Linked DNA regions of Drosophila melanogaster. The protein of the gene in region 2 interacts with the protein of the main gene of each other region in a pairwise test. Each region holds a gene or a part of one and is shown on either strand. Other genes may lie near its edges.

Region 1 (5,728 bases), on a different chromosome or scaffold from region 2:
CGTAGACTTGGATTCCCTGCTCCTCTCGTACATTCTTTGCTCTAGGCCCGCATCACTGGCATTGAGCCCCGCCAAGGAAGTAGTGGAGTCCAAACTAATATCCTTGTTCAGATCATCCCAGGTTATATCATTGCGCCTGGGATTCGGATGGGCACTAAAGCAGTTGACGTACATCAGGAAGAAGAAGTGGATGCTGATCCCAAGCAGATGCATTTCGTGGAGTCTAACTATTAAACACAAAATATCCAATAAGTCTGGACCTAAGTGGCTAACTTAGCTGTAACTAGATACAAGAACAAATATTTGTTCTTTTGAAGAATTTGTCTAAATTAGGTAATTATTAGCAAAATATTGCATTTGCTCCTTAAAATTACATTACACATTCAACACCTTAACTTTTTAAATTACTAAATTTAAAACAGAATTGCGACATTAATTCTCTTATAGCCCATGCAGTATGAATATTAAATCCCATTCACTGACTTAATATCCTTTTGAACCCAAAAATCTGTCCAGATCTTCAAATTCGCCGAGCAGCACTTGAGTTTTAAGGGTCACATATAAATTTGAAATTAATTCAAATAGCACTAAGGGGTAATGAGTTGCGAGTAATTATCCATTTAAAGCTTTAAAATGTTCCACTTCTTTGCTGTACTCCTTTAAATTTAAAGTCCTTAAAGCAGTCCAAATATTTAATGTTTTGTAGAAGCACTTTTTAAGGTTTATTTGACTAAAAAAACACACTTTGCACAAACACTTCACTTTATCCAATTGTATTACCGGAAGTCACGAGGGGAAAGATGGCCCGAAGCACGATAATCGAGTGAACCAGTGGCCACAACTGTTGGTCCTTTTATATCCGCAAGGACCTCTGCTCGGCAAAACTCGTCCTGCAGCCCGAATGCCGGCAGCCAATGAGAGTCCTGCAAATCGGCGGGCAAATGACTTCGTCTGCACGGAAAGTGAATCTCTAGGTTAGGCGAACAAGGTTTTATGGCCTCACTTGTTGCTCCTTGGCCAAATCTGAATGGTAATCGCTTGGAAACGCCGTCGCGTGCCGCCAGCAATTAATGCGTCTCTTTGGTGGCACTCGTGTAGACTGCTTTAAGACGATGCTGCCTTAATACGCCCGGTGTTTAGTGAACCCAAATCTGATAGCCCAGGGAAAAGGCATTTCAAAGGGGGGAAAACAATTACCAAAGTCGTAAGCAAAAGTAAATCATGTTGCTGCCTAAGAATCTTTACATACACACATTATACAGCATCCCTAAATTTAGTGTATTGACTTATTATTAGACTAGCAACGCCGTAATGTTTATTTTTGAATAATTTAACATTTATTTACTGACCAGATTCTAAATCAACTAAGTTCACTTGCGGTGCAGACCACCACCTGGACGAATTACTGCAGCGGCTGCCTTTTTGACCTCATCAATTGCATGCATCATGCGCTGCGGCTCAGTGAGAAACCAAATCCACAGGACTACGCTATAGCGATACAGTTTATCCCGCTCCTAAAAGGATAAACAACATTAAAATGTTATATTCCATGATTTTATAGTTAATTAGTATACTTACAATGCGCCCCACGACATTTTCCAGGAAATCTTTTCGCAAGGAACGCCCTGACTCATCCAGGCGAGTTTGCTGCTGGGTGACATTGTATATGGCGCTCAAGTAGCGAACGTTCTCAAACATGGGCTGCTCCAATGGGGAATCATAGACAAACGGCCGCAAAGTCTGCTCCAAGCGCTTGCTAAAAAAAAATATTAATAGCTTAAACGATCTGTATCAAAGTTAAGTATTGCAACTTACAGTTCTGCCAGTTGATCCTGAACAGCAGCACACGACTTTCGGTTCAGCATGCTCTGAAAGGAGTAAGACAGCAGGCGACCGAACTTTTCGTATTCGAAGAGACAAGCCTTGGCCTCAGTTGCCTTTATGTTCTGTCCCAAGTGGGCTGACAACAAATTGGCAATCTCCTGCACAAACTGGGCACAAATGCCCTGATAACTGGCGTTAATGGAGCGCATGGTCTGGATTCTTTGCCAAGTGGCCTGCGCTTGGTCGCGCAACTCCTCCGAAGTGTCCAGGCAGTTGCGCTTCTTGTCGCAGTCCAGTTGGATCGCAATCCACAGCAATTCCGCATTGGACAGAGCATCTGAGATGATTTTAGTGAGCTTCTTGTCGCTTTCATGACGTCGAACAGCTCTTTCCAACTTCAGTTTAGTGTTCTCGTAGAGAACCAGCTCAATACGTCGCTGGGTGTGCTGCTGAATGTGAATGGTTAGATCGTTTAAAAGCGTATCGTGTGTATTGCTCAGTTGATAGTCGTTGAGCAGCTGCAGATCGTGCATTTCACGCGCCATGTCCGTTAAACTGAGGCAGTGAATCTTGCCAAGATCCAACTGGTCAATAAGACACTGCGTGGCCTTCACCTTGGCCTTTGTTCTTATGTAGGATAGTGCATAAAACTGGATGCTGTAAAAACGGTCATATCAATTAATGTGCATTGTTTTTAGCACAGAACCTTTGTGCTTACCCACGTTCCAAGTCCTCCAGCTTGGCCTTTTCGCGCCCAAGATCTTCCTCCGCGCTCTGGAACTCATCATAGTCCTGGATCTTAAAATTCTCCTTCACATACAGAGTAAAGTATTGCATAAATGAATCGCATTTGTGGAAATACTGCTCCAATGGCAGTTGATGCATGAATAGAGGCGGCAACTGTGGGGCGGTGAATGCCTTTTTGGCTTCGGCGCTTAGCCGGCAGTTCTCCTGCTGCAGTTCCTCCAGTTGCTTGGCTTTGGACTGGCACTCGGCTATCAGATCCTTCTCCCTCAGTTGCAACTCGGCGGTGACGCACTCCACCTCGCCTAGGTGCTTAGTTATCGAGTGCTTTGTGGTCCTGCAAAAGTGGATTGACCATCGATCGAACATATATGAGGAAGGTTACAGTTTTTCCCTTACATCATATCTTCCAGAAGCGTAGCATAATCCCTTGAGGCATCTTCGATCGCCTCAATGCTCATGGTCAAGGCGTCGACATCCTGCTGCTTGTAGTTGAGAAGCCCCGGACTTTCGGCCTCGATTTGCAGGAGCTTGAGCTCGCGATCCGAAGCACTTAGCCACTCGCCCCGCCGCTGCATCTCCTCCCGCTCCAGAACCTGTCGCTCTGTGAGGATATTTGCATCCGTGATGTTCCCGGACAGGAACTTGAAGAACATCTCCATCTGCTCATCGTACAGAATCCACTGGTTCGAGCTGTCCACTCCCAGCTTCTTGAAGAATTCCGAGTTCTGCAATCATGGCGATTATAAGCTGATCATTAATTAAATCATCACACATACGCTCAGCAGATCGCCCATCTTTTAAAAAAATGACAACACAAGCTGATTACTTATCGGTTATATCGAAAGGTTTCAGAGACGTTACTAGAGATGGTACCTTTTGAAAATTAACAGGAAATAGTGCTTAATAATTAAGCTTAATAAAAATCGTAGAAATTCCTGATTTCCTATCAACGATTTCATGAAATATTTACTCTTATCTATTTCTGTTAAATATATATATATATAATATATATAATATATATATATATATATATATATATATATAATATATATAATATATATATATATATATATATATATATAATAAATTTCTGTTTATTATATATATATATTTTATATATGAATTATTTTAAATTTTTGCTATGAAGTAAGGATACAATTTTTCTAAATTTGACACAAGTTCTTAAGTTTAATTCAAGTAAATATTATGTTTTAGTACACCTCAATCTTAAAGGGCTTATAAATTGATCTTTGTTAAAATGATTTTAATACCTTATATCGATATGTGGATAAACGTGCACACCACCCCTGGTAAATAGAAACACCCTAACGCCATCTAGTTTGCAGCCCTGGTACCGCTTTGGACGCACTTCGTGTGGCAGTCTGGCAACCCTACACTGAATGACAAGTAAATTCTGTTCGTTTTGCAAAATAAACTTGTAAATTGGTATATTCCTTAGCAATGGTAAGTACCGCGCCCAGAAGACCGGTATTGGTCTGAGAGCCACCATTGGGCCGATGACCATTGAAGGCTAGCAATCGTGGTAGTAATTGACTTGCGTGTATTTTCCCAGGCTCGCCGCTATGATTCCCGCACCACGATCTTCTCGCCGGAGGGCCGTTTGTACCAGGTGGAGTACGCCATGGAGGCCATCTCGCACGCCGGAACCTGCCTCGGAATCCTCGCCGAGGACGGCATCCTGTTGGCAGCCGAGTGCCGCAGCACAAACAAATTGCTGGACAGCGCCATTCCTTCGGAGAAGATCTATCGCCTGAACGAGTGAGTTGAAATTTCAGTAGTATATCCTACGATGAATTCAAGGGTCACAGGCCATATATTTAACTGGCCATGATCTTAATTACCCACTACATTCTCTACGAATCTATCTCTATCCAAGCCTCTTTGTTTTCCCTCAGCAACATGGTCTGCTCGGTGGCTGGCATCACCTCCGATGCCAATGTGCTGACCTCAGAACTGCGTCTGATTGCCCAGCGTTACCAGTTCAGCTACGGCGAGGTGATTCCCTGCGAGCAGCTGGTGTCGCACCTCTGCGACATCAAACAGGCGTACACTCAGTACGGCGGAAAGCGTCCCTTCGGCGTCTCGCTGCTCTACATGGGATGGGACAACAAGTACGGCTACCAACTGTACCAGTCGGATCCCAGCGGCAACTACGGCGGATGGAAGGCCACCTGTATTGGCAACAACTTCGGTGCCGCGATCTCCATGCTGAAGCAGGAGCTGGCCGATAAGGAGAACGTGAAGCTGACGCTGGCGGACGCCAAGGATTTGGCCATCAAGGTACTGAGCATGACCCTGGACACCACCAAGCTGACCCCGGAGAAGGTCGAGATGGCCACGCTGCAGCGTGTGGACAATAAGACCGTATACAGTGTCCTGGAGAAACCCGATGTGGAGAAGCTGATCGAGAAGTACACAAAGGTACAGGCGGAGGCCGAGGCTGCCAAGAAGGAGAAGCAAGCGAAGCAGCCGACCAAGTAATCCCAAGGATGCATTATTATTGATTAAGGGTCTATCCTGATTTTTGTAACCGATGTACGGAGTGTGTGAAATAAAATTTCAAAAAACAAAAACCCACTATCATTGTGCCAATAGGGATGGCCGATTAATCGATAACAGTGCCATTGCCATTCGCAGCGAAGAGCTGCTAAATATGGCCAGCGACGGGCAGTCACTAAAAAAATACCGTACAAAACATTTTGAGAAAAATTCCGTCGCTTTTTATTTGCTGTTGCTGTTATAAAAAATTCAATTATACTTGCTAAACTAACGGTTAATCGGTTTCTGCAAAGGGGCTTATGCGTAATTGGAGAGTGCGCGCAAAACGCGTGGTGAATACGGATTGGAAAACCATTTTTCATACGCAGCAAACAGGCAATGAGCGCGCGTGTGTGTGTGTGCCACAGAAAGTTGCAAGCAGCCTAGAGCTAAATAGGCGCACGGTTGTTAAATATTCACCGTGCTCTCTCGCTTTATGCAATAACAAAATCTGCAAATTCCCCCCATTAGGCGCAAAAATGTGAAAAAAGGGGGGCAAAAAAACCAATGGGAATTTCTCAATGTTGTGTCAATACAGTGAGAGCGACGTACGAAAAGTCAAAAGCAAAGGAGAGGAGAATGGAATAACACATAAAAA
Region 2 (8,310 bases):
TCTTTGTCCGAAATGTCGTTCCCCGTTGAGAAAGATTCTAGAACGGGTTTGCTACTCTTTAATTGCTCCGCTGCCTTCTTAGCCGCTTGCCGTTGAGGAACCAATGAGACTGCAAAGTTCGACTTGGCTGAGACTGGGGTAGCGACGACAGATGGGGGCTTGCTTTGAGTATGCGTTGGGAGGGCAGGCTTGTCATTTTCCGTAATAGATGGCGGACGTGCATCCTTTGGGACCTTTGGTGGCCTTCCGCGCTTTCCACGTTCAGCAGGTGCGCTTTCGGACGTTTTTCCAACAGTCTTCTGTAAGTGTTCTTTTGGTCGTACTTTTTCAAGACTTGATTTATCCGCTTCATTCGACACACGAGAGCTTGAATCCTTCACCTTGCTCTTTGCAGTTCCTGAAATGGAGTTTATGTCTGGCTCTCTGACTCTGTCGGACACATCTGGCTGTAGCGTCGTGGCGAGATTTGTGGATCGCATGTTCTCAGAAGCCTTTTTGGCTGCCTGGCGCTGTGGCACCACCAAAAGATCTGCCGGATACAACTTGGCATTCGGGTTCGGTTTGGTTTTTGTACTGTTGCCGATACTGGCAGCCCCTTCCTTTCCTTCCCGCGTGTTCTTCGCTTTACTAGTTGAGGACGCTGCTTGGGAAGTAGAGGATGTTGTGGCTGCTGTTCCTGGCACAAACTCTTTCATAGCTGCCTTTGTTCTAATCGTCTGTTGGTTTTGTGAGTCACTAACATTACTTTCCACGGTGGCCTGCTCCTCCTGGTCTTTTTCTTGTTCAGAGGAACTGCTCTCAGAGTCGGAGTAGATATGCTGTCCCAAGTTTCTACCAATGGCCGAACCAGTCGTGGCTAGTCCGGAAGTCGTTGTGCTCTCACGCTGTCGTTCCCCTCTTAGAGGCAACAATTCCTCACTTTCGTCGCTCGATACGCTCTCATCGGCATCTTTATCCATTTGGGCAAGTCCTCGTGTTGTCGTAGACAACTTTCGTCTTGCAGAGGCTCCAGTTCCCTCTCCAACGTCTGCTTCCGTTGTAGGTTTTGACCTACTTGCCTGGCTCCTATTAGGTACTGATTTGCTTTGAATTGGCCCCCGTCTCGCACCGCGCTCTGGTTCTTGGCGGTTTCTACATCGCTCGTCTTCACCGTCGCTGGAGCTGCTTGCAGACCTGGAATCCGGATACGTTGCAGACGCACCCGCAACTGCTTCATTTTGACGTCGCTGTCGCTGTTTTTGCCGCTGCTCAACGGACCGAGCGTAGCTTTGCTTTTTAAGGGGACTTCCTGAGGAAGACTTTCGCTTGGAGACTCCGCTACCCGCGCTAGAGCTACCGCTTTCACTACCCGAATCACTTCCTGAGGAACTATCGGAGCTGCTGGTACCATTCGCCGAGCTGGAATTACCTGATGATATAGTGCCGCTTGACGAATGGGAGGTCGTGCTACTGCGGATATTTGAGTGGAATTGACTTTTGTTGTGGGTCGACGTCGCCGCCGCCGCGCTGCTCTTCGAGGCACGCCTCCCTGTAGGATTCTTCCCTGGCGGAGACCGTACCTTGGATGTAGTCGTTCCCACCTTACTCCCTGCCACAGTCTTCTCAGGCGATGACGTGCGTGAACTAAGAATGCCATTATTAAGCTTCTTGTTTGGCGAAGCTTTAGCAGGCTGCTTGCGTTTGTTAGGAGACTGCGAGGCACGGCCACGGCCCTGTTTACCACTCTGCAGCTTACCCATAAGCTGTTCAAGGATGTATTTCAAATCCTGGTACTGCGCCGGCACAGTTTGTCCTCCCACAGAGCTGTAGAAACGGTCATACAAAGTAGGTCCGTCGTTGGCGTAGATTACAGCGTTCAGATCCATCACAGGTTGTTGCTGCTCTTGTTTGGTCTGCTGCTTCTCCAAGCGCATCTCATCCAGAACTCCCAGCTGCTTGTAGAATACCTGCTCACGTAGCTTAAAGAGAGAGCGCGAAAGCTTTTCTCTTCGACTAACCATATAGCAGAGATTACGAACTCGCTCCAAATCCTGTCGCAAATGCACCACCAACTTATGATTTTCCATGTCCTGTTGCTCCTGCTTGCGGGCTATCATCTCCACATCTTCGGACTTGGGCGGGATAAGCTCGCGATTGTGTCGAGACTTTCTCTTAAGCTTCCAATAATTGTATATGGCAACAATAGCATCGTCGTCGACATCAAATAGATGGCAACTGATGTCATTAAAGTTAACATGCTTATCGAACTCAGCTTCCACCTCCTGAAAATCAATGGGAAAAGTTAGCAACCGAATGCATGCAGAAGGCACAACGGAAAAGAAACTACTAACCTGGAGGCGCTGAGCTCTGGCTTGGTTACGTTCCTCGGAGGTCAGTTCGGTTTTACGGTGATTTTTCCGCCTGCGTGGATCCTCTCCAGTTGTCCCGCACGCGTTGTTGCCGTCGTCGGCTCCTCCACCAGCCCCACTGCCGTATCTGTTTGCTTTCTGCATGGCGCTTGCGACTGAGGCACTGCCTCCCCCATGACTACCAGCATTTTCCTTCTTACCCTTGCTCATACTGTGTTTCTGACAATAAGAGCGCAGCTTCACGCCGTCCTCAGCATTACCTTCCTCTATGATTGCACGCATTTCCAGGCCATGCTGAAACGCGCAAGTCACATGGTATGCTGTTTTGCAGGGCTTTACTGAGCACTGGATGCAGCTGCCAACTCGCTTTCGGCAGAGTACACAGATCAGGGACCAACGCGACTGAGGAATGCTAGAGATTTTCGTGATGGGTTCCATGCGATCCACACACCCAATGCTGACCTCGGGTATCCACAGAGCGCAAGAGACGTGTGCCCAGTGCTTACCCGACTTGTTGGATTTCATAGCGCCGCCCTTATTTGGACAGAGGACACAGTCCGGCTTAATTCCCATCGAACAAGTGCGGCATAGCCATTGTCCTGAAACAAAAGTTTACATGAGCACACTAACATTTCCACTCCACTAGGTGCTGCTTACCTGATGGAATTGCTGTAATGCCATAACACGCCTGGTGCACACAGATATTGCAATTATCACAGAATACCATTTCGTTCGCCTCCTCGGAGTCGGGCGATCGGCAAACATCGCAGATGACATTCTCATCGAATTCGATGCCCAAGCCTTCTTCCAGTTTAAGTATGACTTGAATCTGTTCCCAGCAACGAACCTAGAACGCAAAAGTCAATATATTGGTTCAGCATGGGGTCTAGTGAGCTTACCTCTAGCTCCTCAATGACGCGCTCAAACTGCGTCGCGTTTATGGGAAAAGCACCACATTGGGCACGATCGCTGTTGTAGAGACGCAACCAGGCCTCGTCAATAGGATCTATATCATAGGCACATGTGTTCTCCGCCAAGGCAACAACATTCGTCAGGTAATGCAGATCCGGCGAGTAGTGCTCGTCTTTGGTAATGCGCAGATAGCGATTTTTCGGGCTGTAAACGAGAGCCGCAGTTCAGTACAGAAATTCACAAGTACGAAAAAAAAATATGCTAGGTATTAACTTACAGCTTAAAGTCGTGCGCTGGAGACACAACAGGCTCGGGCAGAACATAGACGCATGGCTCAGGAAGGGAGTCTGGGTTAACGGGCACTTGCACACCCTTTTCCCATTCCTGCTTCCATGGGTCTGTTACTATTAAATACTCGTAGTTGGCCAACGGCTCAGAGTCTGGCAATTTCATTGCGCTAATGAGATCCTTGCTGCAATTAAAATTTGAATATTATTGAATCGTTTCTAATTGGTTTGCTGGTCTGTTAATACCGGTAAAGTTCAGCTGGAGCTTCCGTTGAGCTTCGATTGTAGATGCTCGACATCTTGATGTCCGCTACAGACCGCGCCTGCCAGGAGCTACTAGAACTCGCCCCCTGCGACTTGCACTTGCTTGCCGACTTTGCCAGTTTCGTTGACTTCGATTTGCTAGTGCTGGTAGCGCCTGCCGCGGCTCTTCCTTGTCCTCCTCCCCCCGCTTCCGCCCCTGGCTCTTCATGTTTGCTTTTGCACAAAGGCAGAACTGGCACACGCTCCGATCCTGTAGCTGGACCCGATCCAGTCACTTCAGCTACTGCTGCCGTAGTGGCTCCATTAGGTGGCCTACCTTTGCGCCGCTTGGTGGGCGGCGGCTGCGGCTCAACATCCTTGCGCTGATGCTGTTGCGGCGGCGGATGGTGCGACTGGTGATGCTGCTGATTACCGCGCTTACCTCTTTGTGACATTTTTCATTGGTGTTGATTGGATATTTGTGTGTTTTTGCTTCGATTGGTACCTTGTCCCTTGTGTCTTGTGCTTGTTAGAGAACGGGTTCTTTGCTGCAAGACCTAGAAGTAAGAAGGCAAAAGCAGCTTCAATACGTATTTCACGCGATTTATTTACTAACCAAATTTACTTACTACATGCTTAAGGCCACAGTTGGCGACACCACACCGGCTGCTGCTGCTGCGCTCTCCTGGATGTGGTGCGGTCGTGATTCTTGGTGGTCCACCCTTTGTGCCCCGTGGACATGGACGCCGCTGCTGCCCCAGCCCTAATATCCAGTAGCGACGCCACTTTGCAGTCCTGTGTGCTCCGCACTTCTCCACGGGCGAGTTAGTCCACTTCCACTGCCACCTTCCGCTTGCTGCCTTTTGTTATTGTTCGTTGTTTATCCACAGACTTTTGCAAGTTTTTCTTTGGCGTTTGGCTCACTGGTTTGGATTCTCGACGAGCATTCGCTAGTCTGGTGGGAGAGAAGGCATATGTTTGTGGGTTATTCGCTTATATTAGGAGCGTTCCCAGTAAGTGTCCACATTTTCTATGCTTTCCGAAAATACACAAAAAATATAGAAAAACGTTCAAGCTGCCAATAGGTGACTGGTGCAAAACCCACAGGCGCCCTCCCGCTCGCACATAGCACGCTCGTTTAAGGGCGCGCTTACTATGCGCGTGAGTGCAAGCAGGAGGCAAGCAGGTGGCGTTCGTGTTGCATCCGCCAGCTTATACACGGCACCCAGCATACCCCTCCGACACTTCACTACTCAGAAGCAATCAAAGTTTTTGCACTTTTTTTTACACTTTTATTATAACAACTTATTTGTTATTGCTATCCGCAAACCTAGACAGCCACTCTGCTCGTCGCTAGCGCTTCCGCACGCGACACGCCCACTCAGGGCGCCACTTTCGCACTGCCCATTCTTGGGGGAGTTGGGATTTTGTTATATATTTTACATTTGGGTTTTTTGCCGCCGCAGACACACACGCCAAGCACTTGTTACTGACCGAAGACCGCTCACAGTCTTCGCATTTCGTGAAGCGTCCGTATCAAACTCACGTTTCCCAAAATCGCATTTGCGTTCGCAGGAATTACAATTCTTTTGATTATTTATTTTATTTTTGAGCAAAAATTATTTTTCTCAGATCGCCATGATGAACGGTTGCAAATTTAAACTATCGAGTGCATTTAGTCGGTGGTCGGTATCGATACACAGCTTGGGTATATACAGAGTTGCATTCGGCCCAACGCTGTATTTTGTTTTAACAACATTTAATTAATTTCCACAGAATTTTCATATTAATTTGTATTTGAAAAAAAAAGTTATTTCCATTAAGTTAAGATATGTTAATTAAGAATTTTCTTATTATTACCTCTAAATATTATAGATTTTCTTAACTTAATAGAAGTTAATAATTATGTAACAAACAATGTCGAAATGATGAAATTACAATCTTTTTATTTTTTTAGAGAGGAATTTTTTATTCGTTAAAAAAAACCCGATAAGCTGAAAACAAACATCGCGATTGAAGATAAATATCGGTTAAAAATATGTTATTGTGATTACAGAGGAAAACTATCGACTGAGCGCACCCAGGAGCCCATCTCCAGCACCAACAAGAAAAAATATGTATATTTATAACTATATGTAAAAAGGAAAAAGTCGCGTCGCACAAAGGTAACGTGAATACTATTTAATCGGACCTCTGATGCAGCGATAAGCAGGCTTTTTTTCAACGGAGCCTCGCTAATTTGACCGCCCTCTGCCAGATTGTCTTTGTCTCTCTCGAAAAGTCGGTGGAACGGTGTTGTACTGGAATATTTGAAGAGTGGCTCATCAAACGCAACAAACATGTCAAACACTCCAAGTCTGAACAGTAGTAGTAGCAATATCAGTAGCAAGGCGCCCCTTGCCCAGAAGCAGGACACGTACAGTAGCGACAGCAGCGAGGAAGTTCTCGAAACAGCCGAGGAGCGGAGGAGGCGCATCCTGAAGGAGCGCAGCCGGCTGAACCGTCCGCAGCACAATATGTCAGGCGGAGGTGCTGTGCCCAAGCACGACATAAAATCCCCTTGCGGAGCATCTCCCAGCTGCCAGGCAACTGGTTCCGGAATGGGCCGCCTGCCGCTCCCTCCCGAAAGGATCACCATGCTGGTGGACGGTGTGCGCTTCACGGTGGAGCAATCACTGCTTACAGCACATCCCACCACAATGCTTGGCACGATGTTCGGCTCCGGCTTCCAGTTCGCTCATACCAACGAGCGCGGCGAGTACGACGTTGCCGACGGCATTTCGCACTTAGTGTTCAGAGCCATTCTGGAGTACTACAAAAGCGGTGTTATCCGCTGCCCGCCCACTGTTTCGGTACCGGAACTAAAAGAAGCCTGTGATTATCTGCTCATTCCCTTCGACGCAACCACGGTGCGCTGCCAGAACCTAAGTGAGTATAACGCGAACTATTCCTGCCAGGGCGAACCTTAGTTGTGGCCACCTCTGCTTGTTTTCCGTCTCTTTCCTTGTAACATGCCCTCTGTTATGTTTGACATAAAGGAGGCCTTCTCCACGAGCTTAGCAACGAAGGAGCGCGACAACAATTTGAACTCTTTCTTGAGGACCTAATTCTGCCCCTCATGGTGGCCTCGGCGCAGCGCGGGGATCGAGAGTGTCACGTTGTGGTGCTCCTTGAAGACGATATGGTCGAGTGGGATGAAGAGTTTCCGCCTCAGATGGGCGAGGAGTATTGTCAGAGTGAGTGTATTTAAAAAATGTGTTTGCATTAGTATCACGGAAGTGGAAGCAACACTAACATTTCTAACGCAGCCGTGCACAGCACTGCCATGCACCGATTCTTCAAGTACATCGAGAACCGCGATGTGGCCAAACAGGTGATGAAGGATCGCGGTCTGAAGAAGATACGCTGTGGCATAGAGGGATACCCCACCCACAAAGAGAAGATCCGAAGGCGTCCCGGTGGACGGGCTGAAGTCATCTACAGCTATGTGCAGCGACCTTTCATCCACATGTCCTGGGAGAAGGAGGAAGCAAAGAGTCGCCATGTTGATTTCCAATGTGTAAAATCCAAGTCTGTAACGAATCTAGCGGAAGCAAATGCAGATCCGCCACTGGAATTGGACGCAAGTGCGTAAGGCTCGAAACGGAGAGTAACAGCTCCCTTAAAGCCCAAATTCGTTTTCAGGTGGAAATCCGATTCCCCCTATAGCAGTGGCTAATCCGCATCCCAATAACGCTGAGCTCGCTGCCGGTATGGCCGTCGCACCCGCAGCTATAGGCGTGGCTGGTCCAGCAGTCGTGGTAGCCGTCGACGAGGCGGCCGGGGGCGTTGTAATGCTCAACGAGTTGGACCAGGCAGCGATCGCTGTTGCCGTCGGAATAGTTGATGAAAATATGTAGATCAACTGACCGGCTGGTAGTCGGAACACACTGCCAGAGCATCACAGCGCACAGAAAAACACTTTACGTTTTTAATTAACATTTTTATATGTATATGTAATAAATGGAAATTTCGAATACGAAAAACCAAGCAATTGATTTACGAATAGAAGAACATGAACGTTACCAGACATTAGCTGTGATCACGCTCCGTCAAAGGCCTCCCGTTCGCCCTGTGGAAGCGTCGAAGTCTCCCAGTTCAGTGAACGATCGATAGCCATTTTCCACTTTTGGTAGCGCAGGTTGCGATCGGTGGCACTGATCGATGGCTTTATGGCTTCTCGGGGGCCAGATTTAGAGAGTGGAGCCTCCATTTGGTATCGGTTTTCAACGGCTTTGTAGGCTGCCATTGCAGCTCCCTAAAGCATTTTTGAAGCATTATTGAAGCTGCATTTACATCACAAGTTAAAGTACTAACCAGCGCTGTTGTCTCTGCGATCTTCGCCCGGAGTACTTGAATTCCTACTAGGTCGGATTGAAGCTGCAGGAACAGATTATTCACAGTCATGCCCCCGTCTACCATAAGCTTGGCCAGTGGAATCTTGCAGTCCTTGTGCATCGAATCGAGAATATCACGGACCT
Region 3 (7,089 bases), about 17 Mb from region 2:
GGACCAGCGCTCCGGATAATGCTCCATTTCATCCATACGTGGACTGCGTCGCAAGCCAGGTGAACCACCCCTTGATTGCTCCTCTGCTGCGATAGAGGTTTGCAGCTTTTTGGGGGAAAGGTGAAGCGGAAAAGCAAGCGGAATGTGGGAGCAGTAGCAATATGAAAAGCAAAGAGGTAAAGCAGTTAGGACAGTTAGTTATGCGGCAGTGGTGTCTGCGATTGGTGGATTAGGTTGTGGTCGAAATTATTGGGTGAGAAATGATGCCAGGTGTCTGTGCTACGCACTTACATTGGATTTGTTGCTGTCGCTGGTATCCACTGCTTGCGGGTTGTCCTTCTCCGCTTCTTTGTCCTAACACACACATAATAAATCATTGATATAGATCCTCGGCTTGTAGATTCATTTACTCACCAACTGCTCCTTGGAAAGTTGTTGTTTTAGGGCAGCCACTGCCTGTTCGTTTTGTGCCTCAGTGGCCTCTTCAAAGGAGGACGATTTTGGCTCATTTGTAGCTTCTTCCTCCACATCCTCTCCCCTGGATGGTCTTTCTAGTTCGATTTCCTCCTCGTCTATGGAGAGCGCTTTTTCCCGCTTCCAAAACTCGGTATCCTTATAATGCTCCGGCACAACCTCACCCCAGGGATTTGTGCTCTCCTCACCGAGCATCTCTAAGGATGTGGTCGACTCTGCCGTTGGTCTAACATCCTTTGCTGGACTCCTTTTGTGACGTCGGTGGGATTTAACCCTCAGGGTAGGTTCGCTCGTATACTTGATGGGGTTATAGTCCTCTCGGTCGCCGTGGCGCAACTCCTCCTCCTCTAGCGAGGTGAACATCTTTAGTTCTTCGTCGCGGGAGGCTCGCGATTCCCGCGAGGAGTTCGAGCTTCCACTGGATCGTCGCTTCTTAAAAGCCCTTCTTCTCCCTGAACCATCCTCTCGCATCAAAGGACGATTCTTAATGCCATCTAGAGAACGAAGGTAGTCCTCGGTGTACTGGACTTCCTGTATCTGATCTTCTCCTTCAGGTTCTGGGCGTTCACTTTCGATTCTGTTGCCCTCATCAGAGGGCTGCGTGCTGAAGGACGACTGCTGGATGGAGAACGGAGTTTTGGGTTCAAGAGAGGATCCTTCATCCGATACGCCAGGGAAGGTGAGTGTTTTTGACTTTGCTGAGTAGGCGTCTTCAGGACCACTTCCTTGACCAAATTGAGTTTTCACTTTATGCACCATGGGTTCTTCTGGAGGCTCCTGAAACCTGGGTGGAGCCACTTTCTTCACACACAGCTCCTCCACCACGGGTTCCATGCCAGCATACTCGTCTGCCTCCTCTTTGCTGTGTGAGGCTTGAAGTTGGCGCTGTTGTAACATTACCATCTCCTCTTCTGCCTCAAGAAAGCGTCTGGCGTTTTCCTCAATCATTCGCTGTTTTTGCTCCAGATCAGTTCTGCTGGAGATCAGGCGACGCGACTGCTCTGCGATGGCAGCATCCTCCTCCAGTTCGCTCTCTGTAGCGCTTGGACTGAGCTCTCTTTCTGCTGCCAGAAGACGCTCTACGATCTCCGCATCCCTCAGTGCTTGCCCTTCTTCGTCAGCTTGATCGCGCTCTCGCTGAATCTCGGCATCAAAGAGACGACGCTCGGCTTGCGCTGCCTCGGCTTCAGCCAGGATCCTTTGTTGTTCGGCTCGCTCCTTTTCGGCTTCGGCCTGCTCTCTCTGACGCTCTGCCACGACGATTCTTCTTTCGCTTTCTTCTCGCTCGCGCTGCTCTTCAGCTTCTTGCAGTCTTCGCTCATTCTCCTCCCTTTCCCGTTCGGCATCTATCAGCCTTCTTTCGTTTTCTAGGCGTTCTTTCTCCTCGTTTTCGCGCTGTTTACGCTGATTTTCTTCTGCTTCTAGCTGTCTGCGTTCGGCTTCTCTTTGTTCCTGCAGTTCTTTCTCCGCCTGCTCTCTTTCGCGCTGTCTTTCCGCCTCTACGAGCTTTCTCTGCTGCTCCTCCGATTCCTCTTTCTCCCTCTGGACTCGTAGTCTTTCTTCTACCAGCTTGGCCTCGGCTTCGGCCAGCTGACGCCTCGTATCGGCTTCAATTTGCTGTTGACGTGCCAGTTCGGCTGCCAAAGCTTGTCTTTTATCTCCAGCAGGATCTACTCGTATTCCATTGACATATAGGACACCATCCTGCATGACATTGGTTCCTGCCAGGGCTTCCCTTTCCGCCGCCTCCTTGATCTGCTTATCCAATCGCTCTCGCATGCGAGGCAATTCTTCTGCGTCAGCTGCTGCATCTACAGAAGAATCGCCGGGATGTTGGAAAGTCCAGTGGTATAGATGGCGCGCCACAAAGGCGAATTCCAGGGCACCTAGGTATCCAATTAGCAGCGAGAATAGTAGCTCGCCGACGCCGGTTAGCGCCGTCTCCTCAGCGGCCATTGCGTAATGACCAGAATCGAAACGGAATCCGAATCCTCCAACGTTCGCCGATGCAATGAGAGTATGTGTCGACGAGAACCGAATCGGCTAACACGTATTATATAAAATATATTCACCACGCACTCGAAAATTCACACCACTCACGTTAATGGCCAGCCGATTAGGTAATTCGAAAAATATTTATTTCACTTTCGCTCACAAATCATTGAACCAATCATCGATATATATTCATTTATCTACGTTTTGAGACGATTTATGAGAGCGCGAAGCAAGAAGAATCGGAGATGGGCGGACTCGCCAGGCGGATGCAGTTGCTCGGGCGGCGAGCTCTTGTTTTCCGCTAATCGATCGTCTTGCAACTGATTAATGCCCCAGCCAATGCCCATGGGTCCCCCGATTTCTAGAGAACAAGTGAATCAGCGGCGAGAGAACCGCCAAGAACCGAATCCGTTCAAATGGCAAACGGCGCTAATTGACGGCCAGCGATGAGAGCAAAAGGCCTGTAGAGCTGACAAGACATCGCCGACTTTTGTCGCTGGCAATTTGGCAACACAAATGTATCTGCTTCTGTCCGCTGCCGTTGTTGCACTGCCTTGCCTCCGTGTCAAATGCCAAAGCAATCGGAATTGGCCAAAGCCGATTTTCTAATCAGTTTAGTCGACACCCCGCCGGCCGCGCCCCCTTTTCGTTTGGGGGGAACTATTTTTGGTCTATGCTTCGATTGCTGTTTTCCACAAAACACTTTTCGCCACTTTCTGCTTTGCTCGCCGTTTTCGTGCGGGAGAACAGTTAGCGACATGACCATAAATCGGATAGGGAAAATCAAATGCAACTGTCATTTCGATAACATAATGAAGAGTTTTTTAATCTCAAGCAAGTATCAAGATTTAGGGATCTTTTCTTTCCTATCCTTTTATTCAGGTTTAAAAATTCAATTTATCAAAATTAATCAGAAAATGTTTCTTTTGATATTTTAAAATAATAAAAAATCAAGTATTTTCTGAAAAACATGATCTTTCTATACTGCATACCACACATATTATTCAGACGCACAGTTGGCTGCAATAATATACAGAGCTAAGGTGCCAATTTCCATAAAAATGCTTAATTTGGCATTAATGGTCACATCGTATCTCCGATTTTAGAAAAAATAACATTTAAGAGTACAATGTTGAGATACAATTTTGTTTATAAAATGCCCAATTCTTTTGTTTATTTTGCCAATAAAATTTGGTATTCTCGAAAGTGGGAAAAATATATTTTAGCATTCGTAATTCTTATGGGCATGACTTTTACTGTTCCTGGTGTTTGCAAATCAGTTTTCTTTGGCATTGCCAGCGCCTGGGGCCAGGGTCGCCACGCCCCATTTCGCCGCCTCCGAGCGGATTGCACACAAATGTTTGCCATAAATTTCGTCTTGGCACTGACACTAACATTGCCAGCAGCTTTCAGAGGCTCTTTATCGCCGATTTCGCTGTGGTTCTCTTCTGCGTTTTCAGAATCAGTATAATTATTGTCAAACGCGGCATAATTGTGTTCTTTGCCCCACAAAGCCAAACTATTTTTGTATTCTTTTGTTTATTCTCATCATCTGATTGTCATTAGAAATTGTGGCAAAAATAGATAGATTTATATGAATAAATGGGTCATCTGGGCTCTGATATATTCATATGTTTATTTTGCTTTTCGCAACGAAAGCGAAAGTGTTTCTGATGGTAATTTAAATTTATTTTGAATAAATTTAAACATGGTTTTTTGTACAATAACACCGAAAGGCGACAGACAATGCAATTTCTTTATCCAACATTTTCTAATTAAAAATCGATCAACACGCATATAAAAAAAATTTATTTACTTGCATATTACACCCCCAATCTATTTAAAATCAAAATAAATGGATAAAGGATATTTTCAATCGAGCTAAAGCAGTTTGTGCACATCAATAACAAATTGCGAATACCTGCAGCAATTTTTAGCAATCTCTAACCTTAACCGAATGCCACAAATTTCCGGCTCACTCGCAATGAACTTCCGCTCGACGGATGACAACGCGTCAACAGCCAGTGCTGCCAATGAACTGCCTTCATTTCTTTGTTGCCATCGCCACTCGCGAGTCGCTGCATTTGCGGAGCTGGAGGATAGATATCCCCGGGATCCCCGACTCCCACAGGCAGCCAAGTGAAGTTCAATGAAAATGCCATAACCTTTGGAAAGGGCGATTGCCGCACCTATGCAATAAACGTGAACTGCGTGCGGCGGGCGATAAAAACCAGAGCCCGTGACAGCGAGCACTCACTCACACGGACACTCTTGATTTGCCAGGCGACACACAGATACCATCTGCAGACGTTGCCCCAAAAGTGTGCCACACAATATTTGTCAATTAGGGATCGGATAGGTGGGGTTATGCCAAAGACGACTCACCTCATCACAGCCAGCGCAGCGGGGCTTCAGCATTTCCGCATAGTGGCGCTCGCAGTAGACCTTGTCGTCGTGGACGCAGTAGGTGAGGTCCACGAGTAGCGAGTTGCAGGTGCTGCAGGTGAAGCACTTTGGGTGCCACATCACGCTCTCCACAAACTTGGGCGCCGCCACAACTAGCTCGCCGGCGGCTATCTCGTTATCACAGTGCGCACAATGCTCATCGTAGGGGGCATCCTTGATGTAGGCTATTCAACAGGAAAATAATGCAAAACGCAATTAGTTAGGTCACTCTGGGTGAGGTCAGGCAATTTAAACTAAAGCCATTCGCAGGCTTGTCATAATGTGTAATGCCTAAGTTAATTATGTGAAAGAGTGTATATATTCGTTTTTAGAATTTACTAAAAACATCAACACAATAGTTCCAACTTAATTAAAGATCTAGTCTTACCTATGTCCAGTGCGATTTCGTTTCGCGCCGTCACAAAGTCCTCGAAGGAAGCCTCGTGCTGCACCTCCAGGTGCTTGCAGTGCTCCAGCGAGAGGTCCTGTTTGGGCAGCTGGTAAGAGATCTGTCGCTCCCGGCTGCAGGCGCCTTCGCTGCCCAGCCGGGGTACCATTTCGTCGGGCAGCTGCTCGAAGTAGCGGTTGATGCGCGAGGAGGCACGCACTCCGGGCGGAACCCACGTGAAGCCCAGATCCCGCGCCTCCACTCCCGAATCCGCCGGAGAGACCAATTTGAAGCCGAGTCGCTCATGCACGTTGGTAGTCTGTTGCTGATAGATGGCATGCGCCTCGCGAGGACATTTGCAGGACTGGCAGGTTTTCCTGGAAATTAAGAGGGAAATAAGGTCGTTTAATACATTATACTTTATATACAATGTAACAACATTGCTGAAGATAATATTAATTCGAAAATATTTTATCAATAAATTCCAAATTCATTCCACTGTGCGCAGCTTCGTTATGCTTCAACGTAAGTTCGCGTGGCGCCATCCAGCGGCAGCTTTGCGAACCCGGCTATTGCCTTACCTCACGATGAGATCGTATATTTCCTTCCTATCGAATACTTTGCAGTAGATACTGAGCACGTTCAGGCAGGCGTAGTCCATTCCCGTCCATGGGACATCCGAGGAGGCCAGTGCCGCCCACAGTGGGCACTCTGCGTGACGGTCCAGATCGAGCATTTTCACCATTTTACGCCACTTTCAACAGCACTTTGAACTAAGGGTTTTTGGCTTTATATTCGCTTCTTCTCTTTTTTTTTATTCCTATTACTGTTACCGTTTGTCTTAATGAACTTGACTTGGCTCTCGTGGGTTTCTGCTTAAATATCTTTTCTTATTGCCTGACTCGGCACAATTTGTCGGTTCTTCTTTGGTGATTCGCGCTGCCACCTCCACGAAAATAAGAGAAACTCGCAACTTAGGTTAAATCACCTTTCATTCGGCACGTCGGTGCGCGTTATTTGCTCATTGACATTTTGATTAAAGTGCTAATTTGACCTTTGTTCTGATAGCATTTGTTTACTATCCAAGAATTTAATTTTACCTCTGCGCGGTATTCTACGGTCTGGGAATTTCTCTAATTGCTTGTTTACTTATTTTTCAATTAGAGATACAAGCAAAATAATCACAATCATAAATACGCCCACACCAGTGAAATTGTGCGTAGGCCCATTACCAGTATACAGAAAGATAAATTGCAGATTGTATAGTAAATCGGATAAACTAACTAATTTTAAAATATTATTTATCAGTCAAAGGTTCAGAAGAGTATTACAAAAATAAAAAAGAAGGTCTGATAGAATGAGCTCACGATTATGGCATGCCCGTTGGTCTGACATTCAGCGAAAATAAAAACGGCCAAGCAATGAAATAAAATAAAAGGTAGAAAAGCATCTTTTGATAAGATTAATAAAGGTCTCTCCCCCTATACACACACACACACACACACACACAGGCACCCAGCAATCCTGGGTTGGGATTGGCCATAAGTGTGTGTGTGTGTGTGATGTCATCGGGGGGAGCTGAAAACGAAAAACTCCAAGCCCAAAACCGAAATTGCCAAATTCCATTTGCTCAATCATCGACGGAGGCCAAACTGCGTTAGCGTTCAAAATAAGATAAGCCGATGTGAGTTCTTCCACCTAAATGCTATCAAATGGAAACAGGGACTGGTGATTGTCCAAATGGCTATGTGGAACGGAAAACGGAGGGTATATGGTATCGAAATGCC

The links. The genes of interacting proteins can lie anywhere in the genome.
Region 1: the proteins of mri (region 2) and Prosalpha3 interact in a two-hybrid assay, tested with the Drosophila melanogaster proteins (one large-scale study listed by BioGRID).
Region 3: the proteins of mri (region 2) and Lmpt interact in a two-hybrid assay, tested with the Drosophila melanogaster proteins (one large-scale study listed by BioGRID).

The regions. Positions count from the first base shown.
Region 1 is NT_033778.4:20,990,959-20,996,686, forward strand, and holds Prosalpha3 (proteasome alpha3 subunit), read left to right. Parts: upstream 1-3,941; 5' UTR 3,942-4,032; coding exon 4,033-4,035; intron 4,036-4,144; coding exon 4,145-4,350; intron 4,351-4,487; coding exon 4,488-5,073; 3' UTR 5,074-5,160; downstream 5,161-5,728. Other genes in the region: CG3216 (uncharacterized protein), read right to left, coding at 1-213; dgt3 (dim gamma-tubulin 3), read right to left, coding at 1,371-1,514, 1,579-1,756, 1,816-2,481, 2,543-2,905, 2,968-3,296, 3,348-3,365. UniProt on the Drosophila melanogaster protein: The proteasome is a multicatalytic proteinase complex which is characterized by its ability to cleave peptides with Arg, Phe, Tyr, Leu, and Glu adjacent to the leaving group at neutral or slightly basic pH.
Region 2 is NT_037436.4:194,343-202,652, forward strand, and holds mri (mrityu), read left to right. Parts: upstream 1-5,831; 5' UTR 5,832-6,129; coding exon 6,130-6,718; intron 6,719-6,828; coding exon 6,829-7,026; intron 7,027-7,098; coding exon 7,099-7,416; intron 7,417-7,474; coding exon 7,475-7,689; 3' UTR 7,690-7,810; downstream 7,811-8,310. Other genes in the region: rno (rhinoceros), read right to left, coding at 1-2,261, 2,331-2,947, 3,006-3,195, 3,248-3,464, 3,538-3,732, 3,794-4,245; Gk1 (glycerol kinase 1), read right to left, coding at 7,872-8,087, 8,147-8,310.
Region 3 is NT_037436.4:16,895,394-16,902,482, reverse strand, and holds the start of Lmpt (limpet), read right to left. Parts: upstream 3,069-7,089; 5' UTR 2,431-3,068; coding exon 415-2,430; intron 355-414; coding exon 292-354; intron 106-291; coding exon 1-105.